Linked DNA regions of Astyanax mexicanus. The protein of the gene in region 4 interacts with the protein of the main gene of each other region in a pairwise test. Links are inferred from orthologs where the notes say so. Each region holds a gene or a part of one and is shown on either strand. Other genes may lie near its edges.

Region 1 (7,965 bases), on a different chromosome or scaffold from region 4:
TTAGGCAAATGAGGTAACTAGACTAAAAATCAAATAGCCATAGCACTTTGAATTAGATGAATTTAAGGCTGCTCTTAACTGCAATTATTTATGTTAATGTTTATTTAATAATGATTGAATATTGCTTTCACTATGCCTGCTTCACATTTCTCTTGCCTAAATTTTACTAGTAACTGGTATTACTACTGCATTTTTAAAGACATGATAATTAACAATTAGCCGAACTGAGATCAGTCCTTTTGTCCAGCTTCACAGAGGCTGTGAAGCTGGGAAATATTGTGATATTATTTTTGGGCAATATCGCCCACACCTACTTTGGATGGTTATTTTGCTAGACAGTAGACTACTGAAAGTTCTTTCTTCCATTAACTGTTTTTAACCTAAAATTATGATGTTATCTTCAATCTGCTTTAGTCAGTGCTGCTGCTACTGCCTGTATAATGCAACCAGGAACAGGAATTTCAAGTTCTAACGCTGACACAGACTTTCACTGATGCAAGACATACTTGGCAACCCCACAAAAGCTACATGAGCCGTAAGATGAGCTAAATGTTGACTCAGCACTTGTTACTTAACTGTACTTATATATCCACTTCGAACTCAAAACATGACTACAGTATTTTAGTTACACTTTAGTTACACATCGCTTATATAGCTTTGGAACAAATTGAGCGTGAGACCAATTAATTTTCTAAATCGGTTTCTCTGATTTTGTTATTTATTGGTATATATAACCTTTCTCCCAAATTCCAAATACAAATATTGCCATTTAGAGCATTTTTTTCAGTTTTCAGACCTCAAATAATGCAAAAAAAATAATGCAATAAAGTTTATATTCATAAAGTTCTAAGAGTTCAGAAATCAATATTTGGTGGAATAACCCTGTTTTTTAATCACAGTTTTTGTTCATGTATCTTGGCATCATGTTCTCCTCCACCAGTCTTACACACTGCTTTTGGATAACTTTATGACACTCATGGTGCAAAAATTCTTGGTTGGATGGCATCCATCTTCCTTTTGATTATATTCCAGATGTTTTCAATTTGGTAAAATCAAAGAAAATCGTTTTTAAGTTGCCTCTTATTTTTGTCTAATGCTGTATATAAATCTTATATTAATTATATACTGACAGACAGACTAAAGGGCAGGGATTAAGCCAAGTCATAGACTAAATTTTCTTTTCAATGGAAAATATCCATTTAAATATATCCATCCATGACTAGGCTTAATCCCTGTCTGGGAAACTGAATCACTCTTCTGTCCAATCACAGCTTCATATCCTCTCCCAGCACCTGACTACTCCATTCGCTAGGACCGCACCAGGCACCTGACTCGTGCACTGCTCACCTTAACCTCAGCTGAACCTGTGCAGGAAAGCTAAGGAAAGGTGTGGAAACCCCTGATCAAAGCTCTCCAGCCTCTCACAAACACCTGATAAGCTACAGAAAGCTCCACCTGCTGGTAGGATAATCCACAGGAGCCCTGAGAGAAAACCAAACTCAGATCAGGACAGGTTACTTCTTCACACCTTTTTAATTAATACCACTCAGAGACAAAATTTAAAACACCTTTTTAAAATAAGAACACTGATATTAAAGCAGAAGTCCATGTTATTTAGTTTCTAAACTGAAAGCAGAAGCATTTCTGAGTGGAGAAGAATGTGGATAAAATATTGCGTTTAATTGTACCATTGTGCTGGAGCAAACATCCCTGCTAAGCCTAATAATATATTCAGTCTAAAAACTGGGGTGTCGGGTTGCTTTTTACAGTTCTTCTGGCCACGTCACGCGTCTTTACGTACTTATGTCACACGTACAGCCTCTAAAAGAGGATCCGGCTCAGTTTTACGCTTTTACAGCTGAAAGCGAGTGACTGGTGGAGCAGTGGAGACTTCAGAAGAGGAAACTCAGAGCTCAGTAGTTTATTTACTCATGGTAAAACCAAAGAAACGAAGGAGTGAAATTTCTCACTGAGCGCTTTCTTTCTCTCTCTCTCTCTCTCTCTCTCTCTCTCTCTCTCTCTCTCTCACTCTCTTACTAAACATAACCTGGAATCGGATTCATCTGCTCTGGACCGCATCACACCCACCAAGTTTAAAATGATTCTTACACATGCTCTGTGCAATAACCTATTCTCATCAGAGTGAGGCCTAAATCCCTAAAAAATAAACTTTTTAGCCATTTTTTAGATATACAGACAGACAAACCAGACAGACAATAAGACAGGTATATAGAAAGACAGACAGATAGATAAGACAAGTACATAGATAGACAGACAGGTTTTTAAATGAACAGACAGCTAGACAGATAAGATACAGACAGACAGATGACTGACCGACATACCGACAAGACAGAGAGACAGATACATAGACAGGGACATAGAAAGACAGACAGACACATAGATAGACAGGCAGACAAGACAGATGCATAGACAGGTACATAGATAGACACACAAGGCAGACAGAAAGGTAAATTGACTACTGTAAGTACAAGGAGTAATATTTAATACATTTTAAGAATCTGCTGCTACAAGTGCATTTCTTATGAATGCCAGTATATTGTGATATCTCTCGGTATATCGGTAAAACGGTAAAATGTTATAGGTAAAAAGGTTACAGGTAAATATCGTGATACAACTGATATCTGAATAAATCACCCAGCCCTGCTGTGGAGCGGTAGCTACACTCACAGCTCTTTAGCCCGATAGCACAGGCAGGCCCGGGCCCGCAGCGGGGTCCGTGGGTGAGTCGGTTCCGCTGGTGGAGCCGGGCAGGACCGGCGGGGCTCGGGGTTCGGTCCGGGCGGGTACGGAGGAGCGGCAGCTCCGTGTCGGTGAGGCGGAAAGGGATTAGCTGTGTTTAGCCGCTAAGCTAACAGGCTAGCTGCTGTTAGCCGAGCTGCTCTTCTGCTTCAGAAAGTCCCGCTGCAGCCCGCCACCCGGGTCCCCCCGAACCGGCACCCGAACCGAGCCGAGCCGGCCGGCTATTGCTGCTCCCTGCCCCCGGCTCCCCCCCGGACCCGCGCTGTTTCCCCGCGGACTCTCCCTCACTCTGCTGCTGAAGTAAATACTCACCTGAGCCCGCCATCTTGAATTCTCTCAATCTGAAGTCGGATCAGAAGATTTCAGACGCGCAGCGGAGCGCTCTGATTGGCCCGGTTGCTGCAGATCTTCGCTCGGATTGGTCTCTTTTTAAAGCACGCGTCCCGGATTGGTGAAACGTGTTCCACACTGTGGAAGGAACGCCTACTCCTTGTGATCTGTTTGGTCTGTTTTTAGAAAACGCTACCCTGATTGGCTACACGATGAAAGGAACGCCCACCTGTTGAGATGTAATTGGTTTGTTGTTGAGAAATAGCGTCTCTCATTGGTCAAAAGAGTTTTACAGATCAAAGGATCGGTCAAATCCACAAAACTCTTACTGCTTACTTTACTTATAGACAGACAGACAGACAGACAGATAGATAGATAGATAGATAGATAGATAGACAGGAGTGTGCATACGTAAAAAAATAAAAATATATATTAAGAATTTGCAAGAAATAAAAAATATACTGCTGATGCACAATTATAATATGTGTGAGTAATAAGTGTTATCTATAGACTATGCAAGAGGAGTTGTAAAGATGTAAATGATATAAGATGTATATATGATATTAGATAGTAATATTAAATATAAAAATAAATAGATACATAAATAAAGAGTGTAATTTAAATTCAGATTTTAAACCACTATTTAATAAGATAGTTTAAAGGCAGTGTGTGCAGTAAGTGTGTAATTACAGTGTAGTTAGAACACTAGAGGGCAGCTCAGGCCCTCAGTATGTTGAGCTACAGGCTAAATGCACTGTTTGACCTCTGCAGTGCAGTGAGATACTGCTGAAGTGTTGTTTTAATCTGTCACTTGTTTCTTCAGCTGCTGTAAATTTTCTCTACAGGCCAAATAAAAGCATCCACCAGGTCTAGTCTATGGCCCAGTCCCATTTCTCCTTTATACCCCTGCCTCTTACTTTCAAGTGTCAAAATCCCACAAATTAAAACTTCTAATCACTTAATTTATTTGGTCTAATTTAAGTTCTGTGAAATGTGTTTTGTATGTTCTACTGCCAACCCTAAAATTTAGGACCAACTTAAAAAAGGAGCTATAAAATGTTTTGGATTTACATACATATACATATATGCACTTCTTGTTAACAAAAAAAAAAACACATTTTGTTAACAACATAATTGAAGTTTATTATGAGAAAGTATCTCAAAATAATGAGACAGCATCTAAAAAAAACGACTTAGCGTCTCAAAATAATGAGATAGCATTTTATATTGAATAATGAGAAAACATACAGATTGGATTTTTATTTTATTTTATGTGAAGGGAATAGTAGGGTTATTTTTTCATTAAAAAATGTGTTGCTAACCACTTAATATCTGGACCTCACCACTTAGTATGTGGTGCTCACCACCCCATGTCCCTTCAGGGGCTGCTTAGTTCTATAAGCAGGCAATTGAGACGCACCCCTTCTGAATGTGTTGTAGGCGGAATAGCCGAGTGCCCTACAACATTTGTGCGCACTCCAGGGTGCGGGCGCGTATTGGAACGCGCCCCGTCGTGTCGTAAACCAGCGACCAGCACCAGGACCGGGACCGTGGAGCAACAAGCTCGCGGCGTGTTTGCGGTTCCGCGGCGGGGAGAAGATGCGCTGGGGCGGACAGCAGCAGGCCGCAGACCAGCTGGTCCGGGAGTTTCTGCGCACGGGGTCCTCCGCCAGGTCGGTGAGAGCGGGGGGCGGCCGGGGAGCGCGACCGGCGCAGGGTGAGGGAGCGGGGGCGGAGCCTGCTGCAACAGCCGGAGCTCAGTACTCACTGGTAGCATGGGCTAGGCTAACACAGCTAAGCTACCACAGGCTAACAGAGCTACAGACAGGCTAACAGAGCTAAATCTAGGCTAACAGTGCTACAGACAGGCTAACAGAGCTACATACAGGTTAAAACAGGTATAGCTAGGCTAACAGAGCTAAGCTAACAGTCTGCATTGGAGAATTACTGCTCAGTGCTTTAGTGTAGGAGCTCTGACGACCTACAACCAGCTCTAAAATCAGTTATACAGCTTTATTTACAGCCTGAGATCACTGACATGCAGGTAAACCATCAGAAGACTGGCAGAGCTTTAGTTATCTAAGTACAGCAGATGATTTAAAGGGTTTAAAGGTATTTATAGGTTATAGTCAATATCTGTGGCGTGTTATTGTTTACAGAAACAGCCTTATTCAGTCTAATTTAGCATTTATTATTATTAATCTTCATTCAGAAGGACAGGGTGAGTGGCATGGACCCTCAGTCCAGCACAGGTGGGTGTAAAAACCTTTATATTTACTAGCTAGGTATTAGTAATAGCTCTTATGCTGTTATTTACTAATAGTGCTTCTAGTTTTTCTAGTGATTTTAAATTAAACAGCTAGTTTGTGTTCAGAGAGATCTGTTTGTCACTGGTTTAGTATTCTGGTTAGTTTTAGTCCTTACTAGCTCCCTGACTATCTAATCTAGTATGCTTAAATATTCTTAAACTTTACATTCAGGATTTGTTCAGGATTTCTGATTATCATTGTCTATTGATGTTTCTCCATTTCCTCCAGTTCTGTCTAAGTAGAGGTTTTAAATTTCTAGCCACATCATTCAGTATGTAAACAGAGACTGAAACAGTCATTCAGTGTGCTTTAAATAGCTACCTGAATTGAACTTCTTTGCAGTGTTGGTGAAAGACACAGACATGCAATTGCAACTAGAGCGTCAATGAAGGATTATTTTGGTAGTCGACTAATCTGTTGATTATTTTTCCGATTGATCATATACTCAATGATTATATCTGACATGCTCTCCATGTCTGCTTCCTGTGCATACCTTTCTGTTTCCAGCTTTCTTTATCGCTAGCATCTCAACTAATAATTGTTTTTGTAGTCAACTAATCTTTCGATAATTATTTCGGTTAAAAAAAATAGTCAGCGATTATTTCTGCCATGCTTTCCATCTCTTCTTCCTCTGCATATGGCTCCTCTGTTTCTAGCTTTCTCTGTTGGTAGCGCGTCAGCTAGTAATTGTTCTGGTTGTCCACTAACCTGTCGATTAGTTTACCGATTATTCAGCGAGGATTTTTGCCATGCTCTCCATCGCTAGCTCATCAGGCAATACTTGTTCTGGTAGTTGACTAATTGTACGATAATATTTTTTCAGAATAGTCAGCGATTATTTCTGCCATGCGCTCCATCCCTAGCTCATTGGCCAATAATTGTTCTGGTTGTCGACTAATCTGTCAATTATTTTTCAGATTAGTCAAATAGTCAGTGATTATTTCTGCCACACACTCTGTCTGTGCTTTGTGTGCATACAGCTCCTGTTTCTAGCTTTCTCTATCGCTAGCAAGTCAACTAATAATTGTTCTGGTAGTCGACTAATCGTATGATTATTTTGTCCCGATTATTTACCATTTTTTTCTGCCATGCTCTCCATCCTTGCTGTCTGTGTGTATGGCTCACTAGGGCTGCTGCTAAAGATTATTTTATTTTATTATTTATTTTTACTGATTAATCAACCATTGTTTCATATACCATGCCATGCTCTTTATCTCTGCTTCCTGTGAAAATGGAGAAGGTATGTCTTTGCACATAGAAGCTGCAGAGTGAATTTTAGTAGATAGACTTTCTGCTTCTGTCAGAAACCTGTAAAGAACTCCTTTATAAATTACAGTGATTTACATATTTTACACTTCCTTAAAAAGTTAAATATAAGGAGTTTATGTTGGTGACGTTTTTTTTAAGTTTTAAAAAATGTGTTTATTGACGATGTTATGAACTGTGTCTGGTTATGTCGCAGGAATAAGATGATGAAGAACTGGGGTCTGATCGGCGGGATCGCCGCTGCCATGGCCGCCGGGGTTTACGTCCTGTGGGGTCCGATCACAGACAGGAAGAAGAAGAGGAAAGGTAAAGAACCCAGGCTGTGTTCCTGTGAAGCTTTTTAAAATTATTGTTACTGGAATCACTGACTGTTGGTTTGTGGCGTTTCCTGCAGGTACAGTTCCCGGGCTGCTGAATCTGGGAAACACTTGCTTTATGAACTCGCTGCTTCAGGGTCTGGCGGCCTGCCCGTCCTTCGTCAGGTGGCTGGAGGACTTCGAGAGCCAGAGCAGCATCAGTCTAGCCAGGCCTGAGACGGACACTCGGCTGTCTGTAACTCTGCTGCAGCTGCTTAAAGGTACAGCGCGTCCGAGTCTGTTTCTGACTTTACTGTGTTTCTAGCAGCAATAGCACTCGAAACTCAAATTCAACTAAATAGATTTTTGTCCCAAATCAGGTTTTGTTAAGTCTAAACAGCTGATCGGAGATCAGAATGTGTTGCATCTCCAATTGTTTTTAAAACCCGATCCGGATGGGTTTAGTTTCTTGGGGGGACATCTGTGAAAAAGAGTGTAATTATGGTGCGTGGCAGTGGACAAAAAGCTGTTTTATTAAACTTGAAGTGACGAAACACAGAAGGACCACAGATTTCAGAGAAAAACAGTAAATGATTCAGCCTGTAATTTTCTCAGAGGACGTCGGAGAAAACACGTACATGGTTGTTCTGGATGGGAATAAAATCACAGAGGATAAAAAACCCACATAAAAAAGAAAAATTACCCCAGAAACCCCTGAGAAACTAATCCAGTCCGAATAGGGCTTAAATGAGTGTTGAATAATCTCATCTCTGATCTCAGACCTGTTTAAAAAAAAAAGATGCAAAGCACTGAGTAAAAGGAGTAAAAACCTCTTAAGAATAATTACTACAGTAAAGTATAGATAGCCAGCATTTCTACTTATAAAATAATGTAAAATAATGAAATATTTGTACTTAGTTACTCAACACCTTTTATTCTGAGGCTTATAGTAAGTTTGTAAAATTATATTTAAAAAATTAAAAGGAAGAAAAAGATTAAGTTAT
Region 2 (7,715 bases), on a different chromosome or scaffold from region 4:
AGGTAGAACTGGAATGGGATTGGGAAACATTATGGTCAGAAAGATTCCAGATTCCAGCCGTGCAATGAATTCTGCACATTTTTTCTGCATAAAAACAAAATTAGGGCGATTATGTCTCTGGGACTCGGTGCAGCCCAACCATCACAATAAGTGAGAAAACATATATGATTATTATTATCTCACATTTTTAGAAAGCAGTGCTGCCAATCATTTGGTTTTATGAAGTTGGGGTCAGAGAAGGGGTGGGCAAATTATATTGAATCCTAAAGAAAAAGGTGCTTTACAATATCTGACCCAACTTGGAGGACTAAAAGTCAAAAACAAAACAAAAAAATATGACCAAAATGAGCCAGATTATTTCGATTAGGGGTTCTAAATGTTGGTCTGACTCATTTTCAAGGCCAGAGTACATGTTTTGGAAAGCATTTGACATTTTATTGCAGCTATTGTGACATCATATCATTAATCAGCCCAATAAAATGTGATTGTTTAACCCATATCTCCTTTGTGTATATATTTAAGTTTGGTCTTAAATATCAGTGTGAAAACTACAAACAGGAACCAAACGTAAAACAAGGTAATGTTTGAATATCACCTTTTATCCAGACCAAGTGATCCAAACGACCTGAATAAAATCAAACTGACTGAAGGACACACACAAACTAGGGTTGATTACATTACTCAAATCGCTGCAGGTCAGTGTAAACAGCAACAACCACAGATGCTGAGTCATAACTGCAGGTCAGCATGTTGGTCATGAATACACAGGAGCTAAAATATTAGTCAACTGCTGCCATCTGTGGCCTGCTGTAACTGTGTGCACCTCTCAACTGACTGTCTGCTTTACTTACCAACACAGTCCTCTTGTTTATTTTCTGCCTGGCACCTCAGACACGCATCTACAAGACAGAAAGACAGACAGACAGGTTTCATTAATATTACACAAGTATTAATAACTATTTTATAAAAACATTTATATCGCTACCCAGCAAAATGCTTCCAAACACATACCACACACACCTACAACAAGAATGACTATATGGTAAGAGGCTCAAGATAGAACTCCTCAGTATGTTCCCATAAGGCAATCATATTGTCCACGGCCACTTTATTAAATCCACCGCCTTGTTCCTTCACCTATTATCCATCCAATCAGCTCCACTTCGCTCTGTTCTACCAATGGTCAAGACCCTACAGAACCACCACAGAGTGGGTGGTGCGTCATTCTCAGCACTGCAGTCACACTGGTATGGTGATGCTGCATCTAGTGTTTAACGGGTCATTATTGCCTGCCACAGTTAACTGCAACCGAACCATAAAAAAACAAGTGTTTTACACTGCAAACTAATTAAACGATAATTTAGCTAATCCACACTGAGAGCAGGTCTTTTGGTTGGCCCAAAACCTGCTATTTTGGTTTGGACCAAACTGAATAGTCAAAGGTCTGCACCAAACATGAAAAGTGTGAAGGCAGCCTTTAACACTCCCAACATGTAGATGGAATAAAGTCAGAAAAAGATGCTTTGAATCTGTTGCTGCCCAGTTTGCAATTTGTGTTAGTGTCTGGTACAAGGGGTACGAGGGGGCCAGACACAGACATAGCAGTGCTGCTGGAGTTTTTAAACACGGTGCGAGTCGCACTGTCCTCTCTATTAGACACCCTAAACAACAGTTGCTCCTACACTTTGTAGATAAAGCAAAGTCAGAAACAGAAACCCTGAATCTGTTGCTGCCAAGTCTGTGCTGTTCATTCTCTAGTCCTACATCAGTGAGCACAGGACACTGCCCACAGGACACTGTTGTCTGGATATTTCATGTTGTTGGTGAACTATCTATTCTCAGTCCAGCAAAAACACTGATGTGTTTAAAAAGGTGTTGTACTCTCTGATATTCTTGTACCAGCACAACACACACCAGCACATCATACACCACCACTATGCCAGTCAGTGTCACTGCAGTGCTGAGATGCTCTGTGGTGGTCCTGACCATTGAATAACAGATTGAATAGATTTCTACATAAAAAGGTTTCATATTCGATAAGGAACATTACTGAAACGCATAATTGTAACAGAAAATATATTTTAAAAAACGTTAATCTGCTAATGTCAAAATATAATGAAAAAAAAAAATCATAAAATTAGCTCTTTCCTGAATTCATTTTAAAATCAATATTTTTCTGAAACCTTTAGTTTTGTTATGTTTGTCTAGTTTTACGTCTATTTTCAAACATACAGAGTCTGGGTTGATTCCTGTTACTGAACTGAAATTATTAAGTGGAGTAGAGAGTGAACAGGCAGCTTCTCCAAGTGACCTGTAGATTTTAAAGCCCTTAAATTTACAGAATGTAAATAAGTAATTTTAATGCAGACAAAAAAGGGTTTGTATCACCTAATGTTACACCTGTAGCCCGTATACGAGACAAGGCCTGTAAACGGATTAATAAACTATCCAGCTTTCAGATACAGACTGCTCTTAACTGTTTAGCTATTTAGCTAGCTAGCTAATATTCTCTGTGAGATAGGATCTTTTGGCAACAGCAGATAGCTGCACATAATCCGCCCACATAAATATAGCTACAGCTAGCTCATCCAGCTCCATCATACCAGAGTCGAAAGGGCTGCCAGCTGGCGGATTCAGCAGGTTAGCATTAATACCGATGTCAGGTGCTGAGCTGGATTAGGTAACGTTGGCTGAGCTCGGGGGGTTGTTCAGTTATTTGGTTAGTTAGCTCTTTAGCTGGTTAGCTGGCTAATTAGCTGGTTAGCCGAGCAGCTAGCCGCCCCACAGCAGCACCTACCCATGACCTGGACCCGGCAGATGGCGCAGGTATCGCACTCCACGTCCCAACTCCACATGGCCACCGCATTCCACTTCTTTAGAGAGAACATCTTGTCCCCAGCTGATCTGGAGCTGGACCCAGAGCCGGACCCGGAGGAGCCGCTGATCGAGTGCACCAAAACCGGCTCGTCTCCGTCATCCATCTCCGCCATGGCAGAAAAGGGCAGCTACAAAATGGCCGACTCCAGCAGAGCGTCCGGCCGCCCCGCTAACGCTAACACTGACCCAGGATCAGCGGCTCAGACCCAGCCCGGCCTGACCAGCACTGCCGCAGAGCACCGGGGCTGATCCCGGATCAGCGAGCAGCGATAAATTACCACAGTGATCCACAGCTAAAGGGGGAAAACAGAGAGAACTACAGCGAGGGGCTGAAATAAACAATTAATGTAGTAATTAACCCCTAACAGCCCAAACACACCTCTCAGCGTTAATTAAATATATAAACATATAAAATTTAGTTTTATTTGTAAGGTAAAAAAAAAAAAACACCAGTGCTTGCACATAAGTCCTAACAAAAGTGATCTAACTGCATAATGTTGCTCTGAGGCAACAACTAAAACACGGTTTTAATAAGTAGTTATAAGAAATTATAATTCAACGAATTAATAAAATAAAATAAAAACAAAACTGAAATATAAGAAAAACATTTAAGAAAAACATTAAATTGGTATCTCATAATGATGATTTACTATATCAAAATAATGATAGTATCTCAAAATAATAAATTAGTATTTCAAAAATTGACTTACTATGTTAAAATAATGAGAGTACCTCAAAATAATGAGATAGTATCTCAAAATAATAAAATAGTAACTCAAAATAATAAGATAGTATTTAAAAAAATTAATAATAATAATTAGTATCTTAAACCAATGAAATATCAGTTTACTTAATAAGAAGAAAAAAATGTAAATATATATATATATATATATATATATATATATATATATATATATATATATATATATATATATATATATATATTATATTATATTTATTTTACGTGAAAATATATTTATATATATTTATTTAATATATTTATTTATGTGAAAATATAAAGAGTAGAAGTAAAAAGATGAGGAAGATGGATGATCACAAGGCATCAAACCAAGCTGAACTCCTTGAATTTCTGCAGCTGGAGTGGCATGAAGTTATCCAAAAGCAGTGTGTAAGACTGGTGAAGGAAAACAAGCCAAGATGTACGGAGCCCGGGAGGGGCCGTGGATAAAAAAAATAATAAAATCGAGTGAACGATGTAGCAGTTCGTGCTCACGTTTTCTTTAATTCGAGTGAACGATTTGCAATTCGTGCTCACGATTTCTTTAATTCGTGCTCACGATTTCTGTAATTCGTGCGCACGATTTCTGTAATTCGAGTGAACGATTTCTGTAAATCGTGCTCACGTTTTTATGCGCAATAAGACAAGAAGCTCGGAGGGAAAGGAGCATTTTCTCTCTTGATCTGTTACAGGGGTGCAGTAATGATAATCAGTTATCTACCTTTATAACCTGCTGTTATTAATGCACTAGTGTTACAGTTAGATGTACAGTACAGTGAGCAGATTTTGCCTGGTGGTGGAATCTCTACAGCGCGTGGGGGAGAGCCGTCCGCGGCATCGGTTCCCCAAGCCGCCAGACACCTGCCGCGCGCGCAGGTCTTCACGGAGCTTATTTACCAACAATGTAGACAAATACAGTCAATTCCAGTCATGAATAAAGGAAACAAACATTTTACTGATGCAGGACAACTGTGTGTTATTAAAACCAGATCAAAACAAAGTTATAATGCAATGTGCAAATGTGTTTATTAATTTCTAAATAACATTCAGCCAGCCTCCAAGGAAATGCACACCTTCTTAAATCTGGTTACATCATTATTACTTTTATGATAGATTTAATCTATATTTTAATAATTTGTATAATAAATAAACACATAATTCAGAAAATATACATTTAAGAAGTTTATAATTATTATATTTTTTTTATTTGAAGCTTGTGGCATGTTTCTGGGCAGGACACTGATTTGAGAATAAGCAGATATTCAGGACATTTCATCAGATATAGAAACTTAATTATTTTAGGAAACATATTGGAATAAATTATCAAATTGATCCAAATTATTATATGAAATGCCTATTTACTAAATATCTTAATACATTGTATTAATAGTATTTTAGACCAGCTATTTTGATTTTATATAGTGTTACATATTTAAAGCAGCTCTTATATGAGCCATTCATAGACAACTGTCACACCTTGCATTAATTTTGTATTATCTTTATTAACTTTTACAGTGTACATTTGGACCTAAGTCTTATAGCTGTATATTTATATAATTATACTTCTTTACGTTATACTATTGTTGAAAATAAGAAATTATAAACAGTTCCACATTGCATTATAACTTTGTTTTGATCTGGTTTTAATAACACACAGTTATCCTGCATTAGTAATGTTTGTTTCCTTTAATCATGACTGGAATTGACTGTATTTGTCTACATTGTTGGTAAATAAGCTCCGTGAAGACCTGCGCGCGCGGCAGGTGTCTGGCGGCGGGGGAACCGATGCCGCGGACGGCTCTCCCCCACGCGCTGTAGAGATTCCACCACCAGGCAAAATCTGCTCACTGTACTGTACATCTAACTGTAACACTAGTGCATTAATAACAGCAGGTTATAAAGGTAGATAACTGATTATCATTACTGCACCCCTGTAACAGATCAAGAGAGAAAATGCTCCTTTCCCTCCGAGCTTCTTGTCTTATTGCGCATAAAAACGTGAGCACGAATTACAGAAATCGTTCACTCGAATTACAGAAATCGTGCGCACGAATTACAGAAATCGTGAGCACGAATTAAAGAAATCGTGAGCACGAATTGCAAATCGTTCACTCGAATTAAAGAAAACGTGAGCACGAACTGCTACATCGTTCACTCGATTTAATTGTTTTTTTTATCCACGGCCCCTCCCGGGCTCCGTAAAGATGCATGAAAACTGTGAATAAAAATCAGGGTTATTCCACCAAATACTAATTTCTGAACTTTTATTTGGAATTTGGGAGAAATGTTGTCCGTTGTTTATAGAATAAAACAACAATGTTAATTTTACTCAAACATAAACCTATAAATCCTATGAATAGCAAAATCCAAGAAAATGGTTTAGTAACTGAAGTGGTCTCTTATTAAAAAAAACTGAATTTCGAGATCGTCGTCAAAATGCCAACGTTTTTTCAATGTCAGCTCCACGTTGGTTTGTAGGTTGTGCCCAAACTAGGGTTCAAGTCGCTACCCAGTGTAAGGTGTAGCGTTCTGTACACACCTATCCACATCTACCCAAACAAATGCGCGCACCAGTTTTGGAGCACGACTGGACCGTGGCTGCTGTGTGTGTGTGTGTGTGTGTGTGTGTTTGTGTTCTGTGCCCTATGTGTCTGTCTGTGGGTTTTTGTTTGTTTCCCGTGAACGCGCGAGCGCACGCACAATTGCCATGTTCCAGCCATGCTCCAATATTCGTGTGTGAGAATTTGGGCTGTTTGGTAATAAGCTAAAGACCAACGTGGAGCTGACGTTGGTAAAACGTTGGCATTTTGACGCCGATCTCCGCTCCTTTATCCAGCTCCTTTATCCAGCGTTCTAAAAAATACTGCCAACAACAGACCAACGTTGGTCTGACTTCGAATTTCGACGTGCGACATAGACAACATTTGGCAGCATACTGTTGCTATCTGGGCCCGGGGGGCGGGGTGGGGGAGTTTCAGCAGCGCCTCCATCGGGTTGGCTGTGCTCTGCTCCGGCGCTCAGAGCTGCTGGAGGAGCGGACCCGACTCAGTCATGAAAACAGCGGCTTTAATAACAGCGACCGCCTGCCTGGCGGTTCTTTACTGCGTCTGCGCTTCTCCTATTTTAACTGAGGAAGGTAGGAGTCCAGTTATCAACTTTAAATCAAGAGAGAGGCCAGTTTAACAACATACAGACTTTAGTTTCGTTTCTGCTTTTGTTTTCTTCTCTTCTACAGACCCTGCTAAAAATACAGCTCAAGAACCAGACAAAACACATATACCATATAGTTAACCTAACGAGCTAGTCTAACAGCATAGTATTTATATATTTATATTTTCTAGATGACAGCTGGTCTGAGCTGGATATTTAACAAGAGAGTCAGGTCCAGTGAAAAACTTTTATTATTTAATGCAGTGTAACGTTGTATAATAAACATGCAGTCTCTGTTTGTCCTGCAGATGAGTTTGCCTTCAAAACCTGGATGTCTGAGGTAAAAAAAAAATCCCTCTCAGTTTTCTGTTACAGAACTTATTAAGTGACACTGTTACTGTAACATGAGCTAAACAAGGAAATTGGGAATTACCCACAAATTCATAATACAGAAAGAGTGAGCTTAATATTTGAATGAGTGTACTTTCAGTAAAGTGTCTGTAATGTTTAAATCCTGTTCACAGCACAATAAAAAATACAGCCCGGATGAGTACTACCAGAGGCTGCAGATTTTCACTGAAAACAAGAGAAGGATCGACCATCACAATGCAGGAAGCCACACATTCAGAAGTACGATCACCTGACCTTTTCCTTACAGTTTTTTTCCAGTTGCTAAAACACAATTTTGTAAACTAGGCTGTTTTTTTTACAAAATACATAACACAATTCACAAAACCAAAGCACAACCAAACTGCAAAATACCTTATATATCATTCAAAATATACTAAATAACGCACTGCAACCAAAACAAAAAATAGGCTTATCAAAATCAAACTTCTACACCAAAAAGCTTCACACACTTTATGCCTATTATCATATCATTCTGTTTAGCCAACTATACACTGATGGGCATAATGATAAAAAACATTCATTTTCAGTAAGCTTTGCC
Region 3 (7,929 bases), on a different chromosome or scaffold from region 4:
CCATAAGAAAAAAGTAAGGACCAGTCTGCCTTTCTAAAAATATTATTCATAAATTATTAAAAACACTGTATTTAAAATATTAAAAAGCAAAACAATTAACATTTTTTTAAACACTGAATTTTATTTTTGAACCTTAAGATGAATTACATGACCTTTGGAACTCCACAACAAAGCAAGTATTTCTTAAATTAATACAAAGTTGTCCAGTCAGTCAGTTGTGCAGTCCAGTCAGAGAAATGAATGGCTCTTAAATATTTTACATTTTACGCAAGGTGCTCATAAAATCCTTCAATTTTCCTAAAAATTACTAGTGCACCTTTTAATCTGGTGCGCTTTATGTATGAATTCTACCAGTCAGGTATTAAGGAGCAGTAAAGCCACTTCGCTGAAAAACAGAGTTATACAGGAGTTTAATTTTAGTTCTCCACCAGTATTAGCCGTTAACAGAGGTGAGTATTATCGGCCTGTAGCCTGCTGCTAACCCTGGCTAGCCCTGCTGGAGCAGCATAAGCATTAGCCGCTACCCGTGCTAAGCACTAGCCACTTTGCCGTTTAGAGGTGAGCATTAACCACCTGCAGCCTGATGCTAACCCAAGCTAGCACTGCTGGAGAACCGCTAGCTAATATTGCCCTTACCGCAACACTTAGGGTTCCTTAATTTTGCTCTGTCGACTAACTTTTGAATAGCAGTGATGCAACATCCTACACATGAATGTTCTACTGCTACTGTCAGGTGATTAACCTCCCTGAAATCAACTTTTGCAGCTTCGGATGTCTGAGTATTCAAATCAATAAAATGATAAGGGTGCCCATACTTTTGCACGGTCAAATTTTGGTTTAATGCATATTGCACATTTTCTGTTCAGTGCAATAAACCTTATTTCAATTCTGAACTATTACTGTGTCCATCAGTTATTAGATATATCAAACTGAAATGGCTGTTACAAACACCCAAATATTTACAACTAAAAATGATTATGATTAATATGGGGTCCCAAACTTTTTCATATGACTGTATGACAAATTTAGCACCTGTAAAAGTTGGTTGTTGAGTGAGGTTTCATAATCATATATACAGCTCATTCATGTTTACTTGTTCTTAATTGTGGGAATATGACTGTAAATATATTGGGGTTAAAATACTGGGTCTATGACAGGGTATGTTAACTCTTGGGTTAAATATTAGTTTACATGTGAAGATTGCTGTCAGACAGTAGTTACTAAGCTGTGTGTTGAAACCCCACTTACTAAATAGTAGTGTTTTAAATGAAAGTGTGTATTCGATACTACCTACAATTTTATTTAAATCAATCACATCACATCACCTTGGCTTGTTTACAGTAGCACGATCAGGCACTGACAAGTGACATAACAGTGAGGTTCTATTTGTGTTAAGAGCCAAGCTGAAGGTATTCTGTGGTCAAGGATGTTCTGCAGTCAGCCTAATTTTACCTCATATCCTCTTGCTTTTTTTTTTTTAATGTTTATGTTGTGCGTTGGGCTGATTTACCATCTTTAAAGATAGATAATGCTAACGCTAGCATCACGATAATGTGCTAGTACACAAAGTGATGTACTTCCACAGCACAGATCACAGGAATAAAGCCTTAAAAATAGCTTTGTGATGTTATGCATAGCAAACACACATGACCGTCAACAGCCAATACATCACAATATAACAGGCTTGTTCTGCTTCACCTGGCGCTGGGCAGACCGCTGGGCGGCACACCGGTTCGTTTTTCTGTCTGGCTTGATTCTGTGCATCAATACATATAATCTTTTATAATGACAATCACTGTTGTTTTTCACAAACTGAACAACTTTAGTTTACATTGGCTAAAATTATTCCCTCACACACAAATGACACTAGTTTTTTTTTTTTTTTGCATTCTAAAATAGAACAATTTCTGTCATATTTTCTAAAGACCCTAAACGGATGTTAATAATTCATGAAATCTAGCAGGAGAAAACTTTGCTTTCATATTTAATTTATTTTATTTATTATTGTCTGTAATGATTTTTTTTAAAGCACTCTGAATTCAATAGATTAACTGTTTTGTTTTTTAAACACTATTTTAGCACTTTATTTTTTTTTATCTGCCTAATTTGTAATCTCTGTATTAAAAATGCTCAGAAATGTTGAATACTTTAGTACTTTCACTTAAGTGTGGTGATCAAAAAACACTTTAACTTCTACTTAAGTCACTTTTTTGATCGAGCACTTTTACTCAAGCCTGGGTTTTCTCAAAGTTCAAAAAACCCTTTCCAGATAAATCTCTCCATCCAGATAGAGTGAATCTGATTGTGGTTGGGTGAGAAGTATAATCATATATCATTCAGACTCAAGACAACTCCAGACAAACTCCAGAACAACTAAGCTTCTTTAATATATTTATATTGTACTAAAATACATTCATTTACAATGTAAATGTAAACTAACTATAAATTTCCCTGTCCAGATATTTTTCTTCCTCTCTTCTTTCTCTTTCTCTCATGTGGGGAATTCTGTTTGTTAATAAAATGTAAGCATGTTTAAAACTGAATGCATATTGCGTGCTAGCAACATGAATTGTGTGAATAGTATAGTCCACAACAGATGTTGGGTTAAATGTATATAAAATTTTGAAAAGGTAAGTGCAGATTGGATTAAAGCAATTAAGCGACTGGAAAAAAATTGTGAACTAAAGTAAAACAGCTCACTGTGTCACTGTGTTAGTGTGTTTAACGTTACAGTAAACCGTTTCTCCCTCCGGCTCCAGTAACAGGTCGGACACTGCGACACGGGCTGGGCTAGCCCCGCTACTCCCACAGCTAACTGCCTTTACCAGTTAGCTTAGCGGGCTAACGGCTACAGTTGCACTAGCCTGAGAGCTACAGGGTGAATATTAGCCTGCTCTCCCAGTTAAATATCACAAAATATGCGAGTTTAAACCAGTACACTTTAAACACACTCAAAATGCAGGGAAAACTCACCTGTTTCACGGTTAAAAAGCCCTTATTTCCGTCGCTCTACCTCCTAATCCAACTTTGACAACATACTTGACATTGTACGGCAAGCGCAACATCCAAAAAACCCAGAAGGCGGCGAGTAACGCGTTTTACACTTAACCATTTGAGACCCTGCGTGCACTACACTGGACTTTTATGAGATTTGTTGTCAATAAGAATATACAGCCCTCAAATTATTGGCATCCCTAGTTAAAATGTGTAAAAAGCCTTAAAATAAATGTATTTTTTACATGGAGTTGGCTAAGCGGTACTGGGATTATAACTGGGACCGTGTGTTTTGTCGGATGAGACCAAGATTAAAAGTATACTTATTATTAATTATTTTTATTTTACCGTTGATGGTTTTAAAACAAAAAGGTTAAAGAAAGAAAAGGTTGAACATGTGATTCCAATGCCATGAACATTAAAAAAGCAGTTATGTATTTTAGTTCATTAGATAATTTTTTTCTATATATTAAATATCAAAACATTAGAGTCATCTGTTGAAAACATCTCTCTCATATGTTTTTAGCACTGGAACATAATTCAGGTCTTAAAGGGTTAATGCTGAAATACATACAATTGACTGCACACTGTCTATGGCATGAATTTTATTTTGGGGGGGGGGGGATATTTTTGGGAGCTTTGGGGTTTTGTTTACATTTTTTATTTAAGTTTATTTTGAAGCATTGTGATGCTTTTTTAAGTATGAATGGTGTTACATAAATAAAGTTGCCACCACTCCACTCAATGCCGCAGAAACCACCTGAGACACGAAACCAACTACATAAAAATACCACCAGTTGCCCCATTGTGACCCTGTTTTCACTTCTCATTCAGAAAAAGTTGTTGTTTGTCAGTCTGTCAGGTCAGACACTCAATTGTGATTACACTGTGTACAATCTGCAGATAAGATAACCAGGATGAAACAATCAAATTTACAGGAAAGTAATGTAGACAAGATAACCAGATTTACCTTATTTGTGTTGGACAAAGATGGAACAGTGGCCACCAATTGTACAGTGAACATTACAGTGCACATAATTGTGTAAATACAGGGCACAGCTAAGCTGCTGACAAGGGAGCTGTCTCTGACTCTAAAATAGTCATTGAATGAATTCAGTTTTGTAGGTAAAGATAAGTGTTCAACAACCTGTTAAAAATACATTATTTTTATTATTATTATTATAAATTATATATATATATATTATATATATGTTTTACTCTACATTCTTTAACATTATACAGAAACATAGTTTTCAGTGACTCACTCACTTTTCATGAATAAAACGTACACGTTTTATATACATGAAATTAGATGTTTATTATAAAAGTTATAAAGACAAGGACATTTACAGCAATATATATAGGTCATATATAAATAGATATATTTTATACAGGTTGTGTGTGTGTAAGAGACATTATGAGTAGGTGTGTGTGCTGGTCTCTGTAATGTGTGTAGCATGCATGTCTCTCGTCATGTTGTTCTTTTCTTTTAGCTTGGCCTGCAGCAGCGTGTGTTCCACCACTCCCATTCTCACATCCATCTGCTGGATCTCCTGCTTCAGCTTCGTCAGGCTCTGACGGATCTTCACCACCGGGGCTGAAAACAAACAAAACATCAGTGCCACCTCAATCAAACATCCCAGCAATGAAGCACAGAAGTGAGAGCCCCGTAGTAGACTATTCCTTTACACAGAAGATGTTTATTATCAGCTTCTCCTTATTTATCACCCACAACGCCAGAGACGATCTTTTTACATTTTATGTTTATTTCACAAGTCATATAAATTTCTATGGTATAGTTTTATTTTTTAATTACAATTGTTAATGAAAACAATACTGCATGGTGCGCTGTGTAGCACTGAAGAATTGAACAATGTTGTGATTCATTGAGCGTCTGCACCCACTGCTGCAGGATGTTCGTGCCACTGTGTATCACCATAAACAGTAAATAAAACAATAAAACAATGTTTTAAATTTTTAAAGGGCTTTTAAAAAAAATACTATTTGTAAGTATGTTTTTTGTATGTATATACAGTGCCTTGCATAAGTATTCGGCCCCCTAGAACTTTTCAACCCTTTGCCACATTTCAGGCTTCAAATATGAAGATATGAAATTGTAAAATTGAAATTTCATTGAAAATGAAATTTTTTGTGAAGAATCAACAACAAGTGGGACACAATCGTGAAGTGGAACAAAATTTATTGGACATTTTAAACTTTTTTTAGAAATAAAAAAACTGAAAAGTGGGGCGTGCAATATTATTCCGCCCCCTTGCATTAAAATACTTTGTAGCGCCACCTTTTGCTGTGATTACAGCTGCAAGTGGTTTGGGGTATGTCTCTGGGGTATGTATCAGTTTCGCACATCGAGAGACTGAAATTTTTGCCCATTTTTCTTCTTAAAACAGCTGGAGCTCAGTGAGGTTGAATGGAGAGCGTTGGTTTGTGAACAGCAGTTTTCAGCTCTTTTCACAGATTCTCGATTAGATTCAGGTCTGGACTTTGACTTGGCCATTTTAACAACGGGTTACTGTTCCATTGTAGATTTTGCTTTATGTTTTGGATCATTGTCTTGTTGGAAGATAAATCTCCTTCCCAGTCTCAGGTCTTCTGCAGACTCCAACAGGTTTTCTTCCAGAATGGTCCTGTATTCGGCTACATCCATCTTCCCATCAATTTTAACCATCTTCCCTGACCCTGCTGAAGAAAAGCAGGCCCAAACCATGATGCTGCCACCACCATGTTTGACAGTGGGGATGGTGTGTTCAGGTTGATGAGCTGTGTTACTTTTACATCAAACATAACGTTTTTTGCCTTGTGGCCAAAAAGTTCAATTTTGATTTCATCTGCCCAGAACACTTTCTTCCACATGTTTGGTGTGTCTCCCAGGTGGCTGGTGGCAAACTTTAAACTAGATTTTTTATGGATATCTGAACATGGCCTCTTGGCTGCATATCTGATCAGTCTTCTCCTTGTCTGAGCTGAAAGTTTAGAGCAGAGGTCACTATTGGGTGGACCGTGTTCTGGACCCAAACGTTGTCCATTGCGGAGAAACCTACTGAGAAGGATTTAATTGTATACACGCTTTGCGGCACAGTAAATCACAGACCAATCACGTGTGGGGTAAGATCACCAAACGCTCTCTTCAGTCAATCAGATCTGTGCAGACGCGGTAAGGAAAAAATAAATAAATAAACACACCGCTCCTCGCGCGGGATCAAACCCTTGTTGTCAGGGTTGCGGTCCCGCTGCTCCGGCTGTTGAATTGGGACGCGGCCGTAAAACCGCCTTTATGTGGAGATAGAGAGCCCGAGAATGGGCGGAAAAACGAGAACGGGCGTAAACTAAAGTCACGCCAAGCGCGACAGAGAGACAGACAGGGGAGGAATGTATACAAAATCTGGCCAGAGAGGCATTTTATTATTATTATTATTATTATTATTATTATTATTATTATTATTATATATTTTTTCATCATTCAGTTCAAACAACCTTAGAGGATATTTAACTTAATCATAACACAAGTTAACAATCGGTCCGGACCTTGGCCTGTCGAAATTTTCTCTAACTGGACCATACTGAATTCTAATTAAATACCCCTGGTTTAGAGGGAATGCTGGGTCTTGGTAGATTTGCAGTGGTCTGATACTCCTTCCATTTCAGTATGATCACTTGCACAGTGTTCCTTGAGAAGTTTAAAGCTTGGGAAATCTTTTTGTATCCAAATTCAGCTTTAAACTTCTCCACAACAGTATCTCGGACCTGCCTGGTGTGTTCCTTGGTCTTTATGATGCTCTCTGAACTCTGAGACTATCACAGAGCAGATGCATTTATACAGAGACTTGATTACACACAGGTGAATTCTATTTACAATAATCAGTCATTTAGGTCAACATTGGATTATTCAGAGATCCTCACTGAACATCTGGAGTGAGTTTTCTGCACTGAAATTAAAGGGGGCGAAAAATATTGCACGCCTCACTTTTTTTTAGTTTTTTATTTCTAAAAAAAGTTTAAAATATCCTTTTATATGTGTGTGTAGTTTTACCTCCATCTGACATGCTGCTACCCTTCTCCTCCATCTCCTGTTTGACTTTCTCCAGCTCTTCACTGATCTGAACACATAATACTTTGAATGATTCATTTTATTCAGTTATTATATAACAGTTATTATACTTTCACAGAGTATGAGTTTATTGCAGCTGTTTTGCCACCAAGAAGTGCATATACCATATTTTTTGCACTATAAGGTGCACCGGATTAAAAGGTGAATTACGAGATCATTACTAGTATCCTTCTAATTCAGCAGATCTCCCCGCAGGGTGGTAGTGGGGGTAACTAAGTTAAGTAAAGCTAAGCTAAGTAAACAAAACTGTAATTCTTAAAAAATATATATATTAAAATAAAATGAGCATTGGATGTTAATCTACACAGGTTTCTCTCCTGAAAACTGTTTATTTGGCAATAAGCGCTTCCGTTTATATATAGTAAGCCAGATTTCCACTAAGGATGTGTGCATCAGCATTAGCATTAGTGGCTAACCACTAGGGCTTGCCTCAGTTAGCGCTCGTAAATCCGGCTGACAGCGCTACACTGAGGAACACCGAGTGTTCTGGTAAGCCAGGGCAGTATTAGCTAGCGGTTCGTTCCATGTAGCTTGCTTTAACGTGTAAGCATGCAGGCTACAGTACTCACCTCTGAATGGTAAAAGAGCTAGTGCTTAGCGTGGTTAGCAGCTAATGCTAATGCTACTCCAGCTTTGGCGCTGGAGAGCTAAACTTAAACTCCTTTATAACGCTGTACTTTAGCAGAGTGACTTTACTGCTTCATACAAGCTGACTGGTAGAAGGCGCACCAGATTATAAGGCGCACTGATGATTTTTGGACAAATTAAATAGTTTTAAGTGTTCCTTATTGTGCGAAAAATACGGTAGT
Region 4 (7,983 bases):
TAGTAAGAAAAGTTATTGAGGTCAGGATTTAGTTTGACCTCAGATAAGATGATAAATCCTGCAATATATTTTGTGTGGCGATTGAAAAATGATTGAAATTACATTTTGTTGTCTATATAGTCACAAAATACAGCAGCCTTTTTGTTGCTTGGGTGACTTAATATGACAGAAGTGATCAAACTGCAGAAATTTATTCTTTAAACAGGAGACCCGGATAACAATTTGTAACCGGCAAACACTGGGTTTATTGTGGCCAACCTAATTAACAAACACCTTTTTCAGTGAGTAGAGTAACAGTATTAAGATCAATTTAGATTCCCTGCATTACCTTCCGCTTCATATAACACTGTTTCTCAATCTTGATTATCCAGTTCCCCCAGCTACTGATCAACTACTCAACTAAAAAGACCTTTCGCAGCAGCAGGGTGTTATAAAGTAGAGAAGTTTTCTGTGCAAGGCAGCAGGCTGTGGTTATTTTATGGAAAACAAAGAAAGAAAAATGTCACACTGTGATATACTATACTGTTTTTGGAATTTGAAAAGGCCTTTGTGGGGATATGAATTTTTGGTCATATTGCACATCCTTATTTTGGACGTGGAGTATCTTTGCTCTGGGCAAAACAATGTAACAATCCATGCTATTACATTGGCTCTCCTGCATTGATAATGATGGGTACCTGTTGAACATAGTAGTTTGATTTAACATTAGCTCATTTTAAGAACATGCTGAACTGCCATACTAACCAGGTTCCAGATCCAAAATCATGTCCAGAGCTTGTCTGTAATGTGGAACCTGCTCATTGAGTCCAGTGAGGTTAAACTTATCCTGGATATAGTCCTCATCCACCTGGGTAACACAGTAAGCATGAGTTTGAACATGTTAAGAACATTTACAAGATAAACATTTATTATTAAGTACAATTGGTGAACACATTAATATAGCAAGCCATTTTAGCCTAACATCACACCAATGAAATAAGACCTAATTTAGATCTTAACTCAGTCAAGATCTATGTAATGTAACAGCAAAATTATTTTGGATATCAGCCATGTAACATGGTTTTGATGTATTACAAGGAGCACATATCATTAATGTAAATTTTGACTAGTCAAGACTCCTCCTTTCTTATCTATAGTAACACTGTTACTTGGTAAAACAAGTTACCGACATCTAGTTTTACTTACTAGTAGAGATTGTAATTCTAGATTTGTAAAGTGCAATTCTAAGTATCAAAACCTCCAGATATATACACCATCACTAATCAAAACCAGAATTTATTCACAAAATAAAATAACAATATGGAAATGGTCTGGTAGCATAGATAGCCAGAAGTAATAATTCCAAAGCTGATCACTGCAATGAAAGATTCCAAGAGTAAAAACTGCATTACAAAGCTTAATATGTAAAAACTAAGCAAGTACCGCTGGTGACATCAGTCACAAACCCTTTAAAAGATGTGTGAAGTTCCTTATAGCACTTTTTCGGTCATTCTAACTCAAAGTCACCAAGTAACACATACTAAACATCCTGAGAGCATCACAGGACAGTTTGTGTAAATCTGTCCTCGTTCATCTTACCTCATTTACAAAACGTAGAAGTGCTGGGCTAGCTCTGGAGATCCTTTACAAAGTCTGTTTTTTGCTTATATAGATCTGTTTCTGCCATTTAACCGTTCAAATGTTGTGATTAAATGTTTTACATACCATATAACTAGTTTCGACCTGAACAAACTGTTAAAATATAAAGGTTTGAAATCATTTGCCCTCAATAATAGTTCAAGTTGAAGCTTGGCATCAATATTCAGAAAAAGGTCTGGGCTTTCGGTTAGGCTGAAAGGGTTTGCCATATTTTACCACTATTGATGTGTAAAGGTTTCACATGAAAAGCACGAACCTCACAGAAGAACTCGTTTCCTCGTAGACCACAAAACCAAGAAATCCACGAAACTTCCTCCGAACTGCTCATTTTGGGGAAACTAGACAAAAGAAGGTAAAACAAAACAGAAGGTAAGAAGAGCTCAGAGCCGGTGTTTTGTCGAGTTGTGTTACCCGTCGATTTGTGCTTCTTAGCAGTTCTGCGCATGCGCTTAACTCTCATTTTTACTGTTATCATGTGTTTTTCGTAATTAATTTTTCGATTGCACTGTACAATATGGACTTACTGCCATCGTTTGCTTGAGTGTTACAACAGTGTAAAAATAATGATAAAATATATAATAATAATAAAAAAAATCACCTATATTGCCTTAACTTTATACTGATTCAAATATCATACCGAGACCTCCACTGCGAGCACGTTCTAATGTTTTGTATTTTACCTTTAAATATACACTAGGGTAGCATAGTGTGACAAGCTTGCTAAAATCGACAGAACACCGGTAGACTAGTGTTAGCTTGGCTCTGAGAGGAGAACACTGAGGTATAACCTAGGCTAGGACAGGATAGGATAGCATACACAAGATACCCTCACAATTTACAAGATACTGATTTTAATGCTAGAATAGGATTAACTAACTAGCTAAGTACACAAACAATTTAGCTCTCGGGTTATTGACCCCAGCTTAGCTAATTAAATATATAGATATTTAAAACAGCTAGCTAATCCAACATAGGCTAACATGAGCTAAACTAAGCTAGCCGAGCTAAAAAGCCCAAATCCAGCCCGAGGCTGCTAGGCCGCTAGCCTCCCGTATTTACTGTGGGTTTAAATCTACCAGACGAGCCTCTGGCCACCGCGGCGTCAAATACACTGACCGAGTGCCGAGTACCGACACATACTGACCCGTTAAAACACGGAGAAATAAAGTCTTTCTACAAGAATCCTAAAAACCCGTTTTAGCCCCTCAGCTAAAGGACTCCAACATGGCGCAGCTCAAATCAGCCAGGCCGCATAAACCCGGAGCCGCGGATTCCTCGCTGTACCGACAAACACCTTAACATTTACACCCACAGCTAGCGAACACAAACAGCCCGCGCCCAACCCGCTCAGTAACACATTAAAAACAGTATATCTGCCAAAATTACCGAATATAAAACTCGTATTTGTGTATTACCTCCCGGATTCAGGCTAAAAGCTGCTGCAGAAGCGGAGCGCTGATTGGCGTGTTTCGTCTTTAGCAACGTCATGACGAACCAGGCGCTTGTGCTTATGGGAAGTGTAGTTTTTTCCCCAATAAATTCACCTCCATATGAAGACTTTCATTTAAAAACGCATTAAATGCTATTTTAATAGTTTTTATTTTACATTACATTTATTAACAATATTAACCCAGACTCATTTCTAAATATTGATATCAATTTCATAATGTAATCAGATAAATTCAGCGAGCAGCTTATTCAGGTTTGTCTTTTATTGTGGGAACATGACTAAATATTTTAGGCAGTGGTTCTCAAACTGTGGTACAGGTACTACTGATGGTACTCGAAACATCACAAGGTGGTACACTAATTAGATGACATTAGATGAAAAAAAAAATCTACGTGCATTAACCCTTGCATTATTTCCAAGTAATTATAAGAATGTTGTTTTTTAATCCACACAAAACAAGAACCAGTATTCGAATATAAAATCTAATTCAGTACAATTCTAAATGTTATCATATTTAATACATTATATAATTTTATATAATATAATATTTAAATTTATAATGTCCATTAAATTTTGAAGCCTTTTAACAGTGTTACTTTCATTATTGATATTGACCTTTTTACTTCACAACACAATGATAAAACCATAAAATGAATTTGATAAAGTGTTCTAAATAAGACGCAATAAACTAAAATAAGCCTTTAGATTTCATTCTTTGCTTGCCTTGCCAAAAACAACAACAACAATAACCAAATAACTTACCTTACTAACTTACTGATTGCAAACATGGGCAAGCACCACACAACAGGTAAAGAACAATTGGCAAAGATATTTGCATATATATATATATATATACAGTTGTGGTCAAAAGTTTACATACACTTGTAAAAAAACATAATGTTATGGCTGTCTTGAGTTTTCAATAAGTTCTACAACTCTTATTTTTCTGTGATAGAGTGATCGGAACACATACATGTTTGTCACAAAAAACAGTCATAAAATTTGGTTCTTTCATAAATTTATTATGGGTCTGCTGAAAATGTCACCAAATCTGCTGGGTCAAAAATATACATACAGCAACATTAGTATTTGGTTACATGTCCCTTGGCCATTTTCACGGCAACTAGGCGCTTTTGGTAGCCATCCACAAGCTCCTGGCAAGCTTCAGGTCGAATGTTTGACCACTCTTCTTGACAGAATTGGTGCAGTTCAGCTAAATGTGATGGTTTTCTTGCATGAACCCGTTTCTTTAGCACTGTCCACATGTTCTCAATGGGGTTTAAGTCAGGACTTTGGGAAGGCCATTCTAAAACCTTAATTCTAGCCTGGTTTAGCCATTCCTTTACCACTTTTGATGTGTGTTTTGGGTCATTGTCTTGTTGGAACACCCAACTGCGCCCAAGACCCAACCTTCGGGCTGATGGTTTTAAGTTTTTCTGCAGAATTTGGAGGTAATCCTCCTTCTTCATTATCCCATTTACTTTCTGCAAAGAACCAGTTCCACTGGCAGCAAAACATCCCCAGAGCATAATACTACCACCACCATGCTTGACAGTAGGCATGGTGTTCCTGGGATTAAAGGCCTCACCTTTTCTCCTCCAAACATATTGCTGGGTGTTGTGGCCAAACAGCTCAATTTTTGTTTCGTCTGACCAGAGAACTTTCCTCCAGAAGGTTTTATCTTTGTCCATGTGATCAGCAGCAAACTTCAGCCGAGTCTTAAGGTGCCTTTTCTGGAGCAAGGGCTTCTTTCTTGCACGGCAGCCTCTCAGTCCATGGCGATGTAAAACACGCTTGACTGTGGAGACTGACACCTGTGTTCCATCAGCTTCCAAATCCTTGCAGACCTGCTTCTTGGTGATTCTTGGTTGACTCTTGACCATCCTGACCAATCTCCTCTCGGCAGCATGTGATAGCTTGCGTTTTCTTCCTGATCGTGGCAGTGACACAACTGTTCCATGCACTTTATACTTGCGTATAATTGTCTGCACAGTTGCTCTTGGGACCTGTAGCTGCTTTGAAATGGCTCCAAGTGACTTCCCTGACTTGTTCAAGTCAATAATTCGCTTTTTCAGATCCACACTGAGTTCCTTTGACTTTCCCATTGTAGCTTTTGTAGCTGAGTCTAATCACTGGGTCAAATGAGCCCTATTTAAATGGGCTCATGAGAAGTCAACAGCTGTAGTCAATCAGAATCACTTACAAGAAGTGAAGAGGCCATGACATGAAGCTAATTTGATTGACACAACTCGCTACATCACCAAAATTGACAAATTTTGTTGCTGTATGTATATTTTTGACCCAGCAGATTTGGTGACATTTTCAGCAGACCCATAATAAATTTATGAAAGAACCAAATTTTATGACTGTTTTTTGTGACAAACATGTATGTGTTCCGATCACTCTATCACAGAAAAATAAGAGTTGTAGAACTTATTGAAAACTCAAGACAGCCATAACATTATGTTTTTTTACAAGTGTATGTAAACTTTTGACCACAACTGTATATATATATATATATATATATATATATATATATATATATATGTTTGGATTACATGTGTAGCTTACTGTGTGTGTGGTACATGTTTTTCTGTGGAATGGCTTCTAGGTGGTAGAATGATTCAGAAATCATTATTTGGTGTAATAGCCCTTGTTTTTAATCGCAGTTTCATGCATCTTGACATGTTCTCCTCCACCAGTCTTAAACACTGCTTTTGGATAACTTTATGAAGTTTGAGAATCACTGTTTTCAAGTAAAAATCATGATGTAATATAAATGAGACAACAGCTAACTCACACATTTTATTAACATTTTGTTCTAAAAATCTGAACTAGTTACATGGAACATAAAAAATTCAAGCCTTTAAACGGTTAAATCATAGGAACAGAGCTATAAAGCTAAAATACACTTTTTAATAGAGCTAGCTTATCTCCAGCACAAACCTAGACCTACATATTGTAAATAAGAACAGATGAACAAACACACATTTACACACTGTCCTGTGATGCATTCAGGATGTTCAGTAGATGTCAGTTAGGAACTCAAAGTGAAGAACAGAGTGGCGTTAGGCAATTTACACAGATTTTAAAGGGTATTTGACTGACGTCACCTTGGGTTCTGCTTTATCATAATTAAGTTTTTTTTTTGTAATAAAGATTGTTTAACATTTATATAGTATAAATGTACTATACAGACACATCCTGTCTTCCAGAAAACATTTTTCATGATCATGTCTTAAACTTCAGCATTAAGAAATCTGGGTCAAGAAGCCCTGTAAAAAGGCCAAAGGGAGATGGGGACTCTCAGCTGTTTGTTGGAGGTTTTTTTTACAGTATCTTTAACATAGTTGACAGTAGCAGAGTATGGGAAGCTTATTGATTACTTGGAAGCCTCTTTAAGCCTGTATGATAAAGACCTTTGCTTTGGTGCCTTTTCATTACACTACTTTTAAAGTGCTAATATGATTTGTATTGGACTTAGCCACTGTCTAAACTGTTAGCATTTTTGATGTTATTTTACACTCATAGCTGAAATCTCATTTGTCTTATACAGTCTCTGACTTTTGACAGTCCCCTAATAGACCACATATTGCTTTCTGGCTTCTGCTTAAGTATCTTTTATGTGTTTGTGTCCTAATTGCAGTTATAGGTGCAACCCAAAGGAGAATAGACTCTCCTAAGCAGGTATTACTCATGTTGCGATGCAGTTTTTTTTATTTGAGTCTTGGTTGTGTAAACTTTGACATTTTCAGCTATGCTCAGTGGTTCTTTCTCACGCTACTGTGGAGATTTTCTCTTTCAGTTTAGATTTCCCTCAGAATTTCATGTTATGGTGTTTCTTTTTTGTGTGTCTTTGTTATTCCTCGCAAGTTTCTCTTTTTGAGTCTTGGTTGGGTTTTATCTCATCTCATCTCATTGTCAACCGCTTTATCCGTGAAGGGTCGCAGGGGGGGGGGGGGCTGGAGCCTATCCCAGCAGGCATCGGGCAGAAGGCAGGGTACACCCTGGACAGGCCGCCAATACATCGCAGGGCAGACAGACACAGACAGACAGACAGACACATTTACTCACACTCACACCTAAGGGGCAATTTCAATCAAGTTACAATTAGCCTGAACGTGCCGTCTTTGGACTGTGGGAGGAAACCGGAGAACCCGGAGGAAGGTTGGGTTTTAGTTGTAATCTATTATATACATACTACTGTGGCCAGTGCTAACACATTCCTCTAACTGAACTGCTGTAAAACAAACAGGAAAATTACTAGCCAAAGTAGTTTTTGTGACATCACAGAAAAATGACAAATTGTTTGGATCAAATGGACTAAGAAATACATAGTATATGTGGAAAATGAATGTCTGCATGCTATTTCAAGGTATTTTATGATTTTTTTTTTAAATCTAGACCAGCAATATTAAAAAGTAATTTGGTTAATTGTTTACAAACATACACATTTTTGTTAACATTTGGGCTAAGAGCTGTAACATGCCAATAATTTAAAAATGACTACAGAAAGATTTGTAGTTTCCCTTAAATGTTGTCAGTTGTTTACTGGTGAGGCCCATTTTGTATACATTCAAAAAATAAGAGAGACCACTCACACAGGTCCATTAAAACAAAAGATTTTATTTAACTTTTCTCTCTGTATACTTTATTATAATAAGACACTTCTCTGCTTGTACATTGCTCCCTTGAACTTAAAAATGGCAACATTTGTTTGTGGGAATGTAAGTTGGGGTAGACAAACTTAGATACATACCAATATACATACATGTGTGTATATCAAGGCTCCAATAATAAACCATAAATGCTATAACAGCTGTAACCACTTCAGGTACCTTGGTAAAGTTGAAAGTATAGTACAATCTTTTGAGTATTCCAGGAATACACTTTAA

Evidence for each region.
Region 1: the proteins of csnk2b (region 4) and araf interact in a two-hybrid assay, tested with the Homo sapiens proteins (2 studies listed by BioGRID and IntAct). The link is inferred for Astyanax mexicanus from reciprocal best matches to the Homo sapiens genes CSNK2B and ARAF.
Region 2: the proteins of csnk2b (region 4) and rnf7 interact in a two-hybrid assay, tested with the Homo sapiens proteins (2 studies listed by BioGRID). The link is inferred for Astyanax mexicanus from reciprocal best matches to the Homo sapiens genes CSNK2B and RNF7.
Region 3: the proteins of csnk2b (region 4) and prkab2 interact in a two-hybrid assay, tested with the Homo sapiens proteins (2 studies listed by BioGRID and IntAct). The link is inferred for Astyanax mexicanus from reciprocal best matches to the Homo sapiens genes CSNK2B and PRKAB2.

The regions. Positions count from the first base shown.
Region 1 is NC_064429.1:9,223,973-9,231,937, forward strand, and holds the start of araf (serine/threonine-protein kinase A-Raf), read right to left. Parts: upstream 3,153-7,965; 5' UTR 3,073-3,152; intron 2,932-3,072; exon of another isoform or gene 1,348-2,931; intron 1-1,347. Other genes in the region: usp30 (ubiquitin carboxyl-terminal hydrolase 30), read left to right, coding at 4,690-4,763, 6,862-6,971, 7,060-7,242. UniProt on the Homo sapiens protein: Involved in the transduction of mitogenic signals from the cell membrane to the nucleus. May also regulate the TOR signaling cascade. Phosphorylates PFKFB2.
Region 2 is NC_064416.1:32,163,500-32,171,214, forward strand, and holds the start of rnf7 (RING-box protein 2), read right to left. Parts: upstream 3,050-7,715; 5' UTR 2,991-3,049; coding exon 2,798-2,990; intron 900-2,797; coding exon 852-899; intron 1-851. Other genes in the region: pro-cathepsin H, read left to right, coding at 6,668-6,752, 7,075-7,106, 7,291-7,396. UniProt on the Homo sapiens protein: Catalytic component of multiple cullin-5-RING E3 ubiquitin-protein ligase complexes (ECS complexes), which mediate the ubiquitination and subsequent proteasomal degradation of target proteins.
Region 3 is NC_064411.1:27,924,492-27,932,420, forward strand, and holds the start of prkab2 (5'-AMP-activated protein kinase subunit beta-2), read right to left. Parts: upstream 3,082-7,929; 5' UTR 2,974-3,081; intron 1-2,973. Other genes in the region: ift57 (intraflagellar transport protein 57 homolog), read right to left, coding at 4,410-4,591, 7,043-7,109. UniProt on the Homo sapiens protein: Non-catalytic subunit of AMP-activated protein kinase (AMPK), an energy sensor protein kinase that plays a key role in regulating cellular energy metabolism.
Region 4 is NC_064410.1:37,124,767-37,132,749, reverse strand, and holds the start of csnk2b (casein kinase II subunit beta), read right to left. Parts: upstream 3,139-7,983; 5' UTR 3,054-3,138; exon of another isoform or gene 3,025-3,053; intron 1,977-3,024; 5' UTR 1,967-1,976; coding exon 1,895-1,966; intron 848-1,894; coding exon 745-847; intron 1-744. UniProt on the Homo sapiens protein: Regulatory subunit of casein kinase II/CK2.